Drosophila melanogaster: one gene and its partner. The protein of the gene in region 2 interacts with the protein of the main gene of each other region in a pairwise test. Each region holds a gene or a part of one and is shown on either strand. Other genes may lie near its edges.

Region 1 (3,851 bases), on a different chromosome or scaffold from region 2:
AACGGTGGAGCCTCGGTCTCCGTCTTGGACTTTGCGTCTAAGGTCATTTCAAGTGGAACTGACGACGGGAATGCGTTCGTTCGCAAGGTAAACGCACCGTCGACAAGCCCGTACTTGCCACCTTCTCATGAAAAGTATTAGTTTAAACGCAAAATAATCAGTATAAGATATAACCGAAGACATTAGTGCCTTTGGTATAACACTATGTTTCAATGTCGTGTTACCGGGAAAGGAGATTAGCCGTGACTATATGCAATCATTACGGACGTAGTCCACGTAGTGAAAAAGAATGTGCCACGGGGACCACAATATGTATAGGAATCAATGATAATCTGTTTTTTCTATAATAATAATTTGTGCTAAACAACTTTATTTAAAAAACATAACGGCATTTTTAATTCTATGCATGCTTAGATAACGTTTTTTGTACCGACAAAACTGTACAGGCCATAAAATTCCCCTTACTTATGGTATTTAATAGTCGTAAAAACAAAAAACAAAAAAGAATGCTGTAGTCGAGTTCCCCGACTATCAGATACCCGTTACTCAGATCAATTCACCACTTTTCTGGTATTTCGATAGATATTGGAGAATAAACTGAGGAAAAATTTAATAAATTTAACAAGGCAAAAAGCTGCGTCTATGTACATGATCTCAACTCTCTAGCCTCTATAGTTCCTGAGATCTCGACGTTCATATGGCCGAGTCGATCTGGCCATGTCTGTCTGTTCTATAAAAGCTGGATGGATTAGATCAAACACCCACAAATCGCCAAAAGCTGCCACACTGTTCAAAATTGTAAATAACATATTTTTAATTTTTTCCTGCCAATTTCGATGGGTTTTTGGCATGTTGTTTTGCCTCCACTTTAACGCTAACAAACCGCCCAAAAAATGTTGCGATTACTCGTTCGCACTCCCTCTAGCTGAGTAACGGGCAATTTATTTCATTTCGTCAAATGAAAACTTGATTTTTGGAATGTTTTCGATTGAAACTTAAAAACATCGACTCGCCTAATTAACGCTCAACTGCCGACCAAAATTCGCTTTACCACACTTTATAAGAATATTTATATTACTCGTAGAGTTAAAGGGTATACTAGATTCGTTGAAAATTATGTAACAGGCAGATCCAACCATATAAAGTATATATATTCTCGATGAGGATCAATAGCCGAGTCGATCTGGCCATGAACGTCTGTCCGTTATTTCCATTACCGTTATTGCCCATTATTTCCAATTACCGTTGTGCAAGTAGAAAACAATTGAACTAGCAAGTAAAAGCATTACCCATAACAATAGTATTGTTAGCATGATTCCAGGTTGGATTCAAGCCATGAAGTGCTATATTTCTGAAGAACTGAGCATATTTTCACAAATATCTTTGAGCTTATTGGTTTTTCTGCATTTTTGAAAAGACTTGTTTAATAACAAATTCATTTATACAACATCTGCGACAAAGCGAATTTTATATGCAGATAGATCGCTTCCCACAATTTTGGTCATGAATGTGTATAAATTGGGTTTCCGTCCATAAAACTTACTTTCTTCATATTATCCCAGTTTTGTCAATCGAACCGCTTTACCTATTAATATTTTGCATATAAATATATTCAGCGTTGACAATGGGGATCTCAAGCGATTATTTAAATTTGAACGCAGCGTTGGTCGCCAAGTTAGATAAGATCCCGGACTGTTCAAGCAGTGCATCTGCGCACACGGATCTGTGATTTGGCAACCGCCAATGTGAAACGTTACATATTCGAAGTTGTGAAGTCTATAATAGATTCATACGATTTATGGTAGTGCCTAATAATTTTTTCATTTATTGGGAAAACGATGCCAGCCTGGACAGATATAAAAACATAGCAATGGGAAGGCAGGGCATCATTCGACCCTAGCAGCTCAGACAGTTCAAAGTGAAAATGAAGCAGTTCGTTGTTCTAATGGTAAGCAACTGGCACATGAGCGATCCCCGCAACAACTAACACTTAATGTGCTCTTGCAGTGCCTGGTGGCCCTCACAGCAACAGCTCCTCAGGGATACAAGTACCAACCTCAGCTGCCAGCCCTTCCCATTGGCAATCTTCGTCCTCTGACACCCATTTCGTCAAGTGGAATATACGCAAGTGGCGCCGTCCCATCTTTCCCACAGGCCGGTGCTCAGCCCGCGATCGGTGTCCAGCCAGCCATTCAAGCCGTGCAGACCATCGTTGCCGCTCCTGCTCCCGCCCCCGCTCCCGCTCCTTTGTCGATCTCACTCCCAAAGGAGACTTTCCTTACTGCTTCGCCCCAGCAAAACCTGATCAGCACTGTGCAGCAGCAGCCTCAGCAAATCGTGTACCAGCAGCAACCGCAGCAAGCCCTTCAGACCCAGTTCGTCCAGCGCCCCGCTATCGTTACCAAGGACATTTACATCCACTCCGCCCCCGAGGAGAATGAGGAACTGCGGCAGGACGAGCCACTTCTGGAGAATGTGCCCATCCGCAAGAACTACCGGATCGTCTTCATTAAAGCGCCTTCCCAGAATCTGAAATATACCGCCGCGGCCCTGAAGCGGGCCCAGTCAAGCAACGAGGAAAAGACCGTCATCTACGTGCTCTCTAAAAAGCCCGATCTCACTGAGATCCAGCAGCAGCTGCAGGTTACCCAGTCTGAGGCCAAGGTTCAAAAGCCGGAGGTCTACTTCATTAAGTACAAGACCCAGGAAGAGGCCCAGCGCGCCCAGCAGGAAATCCAGGCCCAGTACGACGCCTTGGGAGGTGCAACCCACATTTCGGACGAGGGAGTGGCTCCCATCGCCAGCGTTTCGAGTGGCTCCCTTAACCTGGGCAGCTTTGTGCCCCAGCACTCCCAAGCTGGCCAAACCATCATCCACTCTCAGGCGCCAACCATTATCCAGCCACAGGGTCAGCCCATTGTTCAGCTGCAGTCTATTAACCAGGGGGTCCAGGGGGTCCAGCAGCAGAGCTCCTTTGTGCAGAAGTCCACCTCCTCATTCGCTCCCTCGGCGCCATCAAGGAAGTATGTGCCGGCAAAGACTTTTTAAAAAGTTGTAGTAAGAATCCTATCGCTTTCATTGTTTTATATCAACCATCATACTGTAGTAAATTTTAATTTATTTTTAATGCAAAAGTCGAAAGTCGAAAGAAATATAAAAAAATTTAAATCGAAACCCAAAAAGCCTTCTGTTTCTAGTACTCGTTTTTAAGTTTAATCCTTTTAATATTTTAGATAGGTTTTGTTTTAGGATTTGGAATTAATCTTTCATTTAAGGCATAGCTTGAGTTTAATGTTTCTTATGAAAACGCTGTTTATTTTTATCACAAAAATGTTTCAATGGGCTAAGAGACTATGACAATGACTTCTTTCTCGCAAGAAAGTTTGGACCATCTCTTTTGGCATTAAGCCAACAGCCATAATAATCAAGTTTTCGTGTGGCTTAATCGTTGTTATGTAAGTCAAATCACATGCTAATTTATGCGACCGGTTTTCGGCTTGGATGGCTGTCATTGGACTAATGGATGTGGTAACATGGTCCATAGAAAACTATTTTGTTACTTTGAAGTATTGAAACTCGATTTCATATTTGAATATGGCTGCAGAGTCGCTTTCTATCATAAGGCGGAGCTCAAAATATGAACTTTATTTAACTAAATGTGTAAATTACAAGAGTTCAAGTCTTAAAATTACGACAGTGGCCTTGGAGTTGTACCTAAGCACGCAGATTAGTTGGCAAGTAGCTGTTTGGCAAGGAGCCAGAAAACTGTCCGGATGAAATTCCGTTGTTGCGCTGGTTGTCCAGTACGCCAATCACGGATGTAACGGGTGCAACTCCCTCGTCAGAAACCT
Region 2 (5,104 bases):
TCGCAGAATGGGATACTTATCGCCTGAGCACTGTCCACGGAAATCATCGTAGCTCAGATCGAACAGCGCCACGCCCCCTAGGTTCTTGACACGGGCATAGGCTGCCTTATTGGAGGCGGAGTCGGGATCATCGTAGCTCACCCAAATGCCCTCGGTTATCTGACCATCCACTGGGCGATAAGCTATGCCTCCGAATCTCTTGGTGGGATCAGAAACTCTTCGCAGTGGCGATTCGTTGCCCTTGAGGAATTGATTTTGGGGATTGGACAACTTTCCGCAGATTTCAGCATAGCTTAGTAATCCAGGCTTTTGGGACTGGAAGCCCTCGGGTGCTGGTCCACTTGTCTCCGGCACAACAGGAACTCCTTCGAGACCCGAGTCCTTGGTAAGTTTCCATGCATTACCATAGGTGGCAACTCCCAAATTGATCTTATTGGATGGGAATCCCTGAGATAGCCAGTACTCCACCTGGAAATCAGCGTTAAGGTGTGCCAACCTATCCTTCGATCCATCGGGATGGTAGATGGGAGCACTGTAGTCCGCCTCCTCGGGATTACGGGCTGGTGTCAGGAAATCGAAGGTAGCCAGGTTCACAAAGTCCACCAGGCCATTCAGAGCGGGAATATCAAAGTACCCTAAAGTCATAATTAAACTAAAGTATAATTACATATTGTTATTATTTTGAAATACCTACATGTTGAGTTTACATTGGGCAGCACAGTCAGACTGAGCAGAAATCCATCAGCTCTCAAGGAGTCCTTTACATCCCTTACTAAAGCGGTAAACTGCTCCTTATGAAGGGCTGCGTGTGGATCCACTATGAAATCGCCGGTGAACAGCTTCTTAATACTCTTCCATGCCAGTCCAAGATCACCGTGAACCTTTCTTGGCTTATTCTTTGGGAACTGATAGGCCAGATCCAAGCCATCAAAGCCGTAGGTCTTAACCAAGTCATAGGCCGATCGGATGAAACCAATTTGACGAACCTTCTCGCCCTCCAGCAGATCGATATACTTGTTGGGATGATCAGGGTCGATGTCATGATCGCCGCCCACACTCAACAAAACTTTCAGGTGGGGATACTTCCTCTTGAGGGAGGTAACCTCGGAGAACTGATGCTTGTATATGTCCAGGTTCTCGTTCATACTGTACGCCTGTAGGTTTTCACCTCTCAGCCCAGCATAGCCGTAGACCAAGTGGCTGCAGAATTGCAAGGCGATCTCCAGATCGGGATTGAGCAGCTTGCCCAGACCTGGAAAAAACACAGTTTAAATTCAAAAGATGGCATATTTAGTATGCACGAAAAGTACAACGAGCTGCACTCGAATAACAAATAATCCCAGAGACTCGAAGTGGTCATTGCTGTGGGACACTATCTGCGCACAGTGATCCGACACCCAACACTCTCGCTCTCGGTGAAAACTACCGGAGAGCGGAGATCGGAGATCGGTGTATCTCCCCCTGACCAGAGCCACCTCCTCTCGGATGCTGATCCATTGTCTCGTCGACTTCAGTGGCTTAATTGAACGCCAACAGTGTGAGCCCAGCGAGCGGTTTATTATTGTTTGGCTCGGCTGCAGAGCACAGTGGGTTGAGTTGTGTTAAGAGCTTAATGTAAAATATAATCATTTGCATTTATATAAGAATATTTAATTAAACGTTATTTGAAAGCAGAATTTATAAATGAACTTTTCGGTTTGTACCTAAACATATTTCTGAACATACATTTGAGCTGCTAACAAATCAACTTCAGTCATTTTAACTTCTACCTGTTTTAAAAATTTTTACAAATTTAAATTTATTTAATTAATTATTAATTTTATTTATTTACCTATCGAATGCATCTATTGGACGATATTTATCTCATTTTTCCCCTATCCTAAGGACACTGTGCAGCGCTGCTGAGTCACTTGGTGCTCTGCTTGCCACTTGCTCGGATCGCTGGTGCCAAGTCAGCGTCCGCTGGCGGGGCAGTTGTCGTGCTGGACTCGCTGTGTGTTGAACGCTCTGGTTTTTCATTTCGAATGCGTGGGATCGGCTCAATAATATAGACTTAACTCGCCCTATACCAAAATAATCAACTAATTGCCATATTTTGAGAATTCATTCCATTATTTTTGTTTGGTAAGTTACACCCGCTCAAATTAGCTTGTTAATCCGATCAGAACTTCTGCTTTTTATCGCTTTGCGAGCGAAACTCTGCGGGAGAGCCAGTCTCTGTGTTTTATTTTTGAAAAAGAAATAAACTGGCCAGATAAGCCACTGACCTCTATAAAACTAGCTTTGGCTCTCTTTATCTCTCTGTTTCGCTCGCCAGGCGATAAGCACTGCAAGTTGAATTAAATTAAGTCCGAGTTTTGTTTTGAATCAGAAATGGTTATGTAACTCGATTAGGATGCTTTTGTTTTCATTCGTCTGTAAATTTGGCACACGCTACTCAAAAGACAGGCGGTATTTTGGTAGGCTTTTTGGATAACTTTGAATAAATGATTAATACTTTCAATTTTACTCCCATTCCTCATATTTTAGTTCATTTACTAAATGTGTCGTTCAGTTCAAACGTGGCTTAGTTGGTTAATAAGGTTTTACCAGAATTACTGTTTTTCAAAGCTTTTCAAAAGGCATTTTGGATGACAATCAAGTGTGTATATTCATAAAACCTAAGTTGGTCAGTTTTCATTCATTAAAAGAATTTAAAACAGATCAACAACATTTTAGTGAGTAATACTTATAATACTCTAGTGCTAAATGGAACCAGTTTGAACAACTAAATTGTTTTTACGTTGTAACTTTTTCTGTGTTTGATTGCTAGATAGAATATTTTACAACAAGTTAAAACCTCATCGATCTGTGATCTAAGTTTTCTAAAGCTATGTATATATTATTTGTCTGTCATATTCACTTTCTGGAGTATTCCGACCACCTCACTCACCTTCCCTGGTGTAACTCGAAGAGTCATAGTAGCAGACTAAGTTGGAGGCAGCTTCTGTACTTGCCGCAAAGAGGCACGCGACAAACGTAAACCAGATCCACGCCTTCATGGTGCCAGGGATATATCTCTATAGGCACAACCGCAGAGCAGATCAAATGAAATCGAACTGAGACTGAAATCGAAATGGAAAACGAAACCGAAACCAAAACCCCAGCCCCAAGCCGATGACAAAAAGCTTGAGCGGAGCTTTAAGAGGGGTCTGAAAGCCGATCTGAAGCCGAGCTCATTGCCTTACTTATTCTCGCAATGACTTAATTGTGTACACAGAAATTAATGACGACGATTGCGACGAGGCAGACGCAGGGTCAAAACGTTGTGACCTCTAAAATTAAAAAAAAAAAAACAAGCAAATAATCTGAAAACATTGAAACGCGCTTGCTGATTAGAATTCGAAAACAGTGTTTCTGATTGGTTTCGTAAGTGTACATATATAGAACTAAAAGCGGTGGAAATACCCGTCTATACCACATGATTTAGTTTATCACACGCACTATAGAATTCAGTTTTGTTTTGCAACTCGTATGTGTTTGAATATATTATTGTGGGTTTTTAGTAAATTACAAACCAATGATTTGTATTTTTGCCAAAAAGGTTTTTTCTCACTGAGACCGATTATTAAATAATGTGTTCAACCGCAAACATGCGCTTCAATATTTGTAATTCAAATGAAACATTTATTAGAAAACTTAAAATATATGGCTTTGTTAGGCTTAACAAACAAATCATTTATCCCATAAAGTACTTAATTGACCGCAGTATGGGGTACTTTTGGCCAGTGCAAAGTCCACGGAAGTCATCGTAACTTAAATCGAAAAGGGCAATTCCGCCGAGTCCTTTGCCCTTGGCATATACTGCCTTTATTCCAGCAAAATCCGGATCATCGAAGCTCAGCCATACGCCAAAATCTCCATTATCATCTGCTGGCCGGAGAGCGTAATTTCCGTATTTCTGGGTGAGATCCGTGACCTTGCGGAGCGGCGCCAATTCTCCTCTATATTGAGCGGATGCGTTCTGCGACAACTTCGAGCAAATCTCTGGCCAACTTAGTAAGCCCTCAGCACTCTGGATTTGTATTCCGCCGGGTGCAACTCCACATGTCTCATGAACAATGGGAGCACCACTGAGTCCAGATCCCTTCGATAATTTCCATGCTCTGCCATAACTGGCTATTCCCAGGTTCAATTTTTGGCCAGGACAATGATTCTGCAGCCAATAGTTAATCTGGAACTCCACATTCAAATGGGGCAAGCGATTCTGTTCGTCCTGGAAGAAAATCGGAGCTGTGAAGTCCGCCTCCTCGGGATTTCGTAGTGGGGTGAGAAAGTCGAAGGCCGCCAGGTTTATATAGTCGAACTGGGGATGCAGTTTGGGGACATCGAAGTACCCTAACGAAATGATTGATTAGGTGGTTAATAAAATAGTTCCTACTATATGTAAAAATAGGATATATACTTACAAGTGGAGTTCACATTGGGCAGGACTGTCAGAGACAGCATCAGATTAGCAGATCGAAAGGCATTCTTTATATTTCCAACGAGATCGGTGAATTGTGACTTGTGCTCCTCCGCCTGCGGGTCCACAACGAAGTCACCAGTGAAAAGCTTCTTGAACGACTTCCAGTAAGATCCAAGGGATCCATGGACTTTTCTGGGCTTATTACGGGGTAACTGGAACGCGAGATCAAGGCCATCGAATCCATTTCGCTTAAGCAAAATCATGCTGCTGTCTATAAAATTCTGCTGAGCCGTGCGATTCGCCTCCAGAAGCTCTACATATTTATTGGGGTGGGCCTCATCCACATCGCGATCTCCACCCACGCTGAGGAGAATCTTCAGTTGAGGAAACTTCTGTCGCAGGGCGGTGATGTCCTTGTAGTAGAACATGTCCAGGTCCACATTCAGACTGAATAGCTCGAGGGTACCGGACTTCAGGCCCGCATATCCGTAAACCAAATGGGTGCAGAACTGCAGGGCCAAATCCAATTCGTTGGTATGCATTTTGGCCAAACCTTGGCGCAAATACGAGTTGGAGTCATAATAACAAATCAGATTGCTGGCAGCATGGGTCAAACTTGTCACACTGAGCAAGCCCAGTATATAAAACAACTGGAAT

Evidence for each region. Proteins that work in one complex are often made in the same cells at the same time.
Region 1: the proteins of CG5888 (region 2) and TwdlF interact in a two-hybrid assay, tested with the Drosophila melanogaster proteins (one large-scale study listed by BioGRID).

What each region holds. Positions count from the first base shown.
Region 1 is NT_033777.3:4,245,137-4,248,987, forward strand, and holds TwdlF (TweedleF), read left to right. Parts: upstream 1-1,883; 5' UTR 1,884-1,924; coding exon 1,925-1,948; intron 1,949-2,007; coding exon 2,008-3,048; 3' UTR 3,049-3,177; downstream 3,178-3,851. Other genes in the region: TwdlG (TweedleG), read right to left, coding at 3,715-3,851.
Region 2 is NT_033779.5:16,445,334-16,450,437, reverse strand, and holds the start of CG5888 (uncharacterized protein), read left to right. Parts: upstream 1-1,968; 5' UTR 1,969-2,124; intron 2,125-2,932; coding exon of another isoform or gene 2,933-3,041; exon of another isoform or gene 3,042-3,108; intron 3,109-3,644; exon of another isoform or gene 3,645-3,718; coding exon of another isoform or gene 3,719-4,377; intron 4,378-4,448; coding exon of another isoform or gene 4,449-5,104. Other genes in the region: Idgf2 (imaginal disc growth factor 2), read right to left, coding at 1-635, 695-1,252, 2,933-3,041; Idgf1 (imaginal disc growth factor 1), read right to left, coding at 3,719-4,377, 4,449-5,104.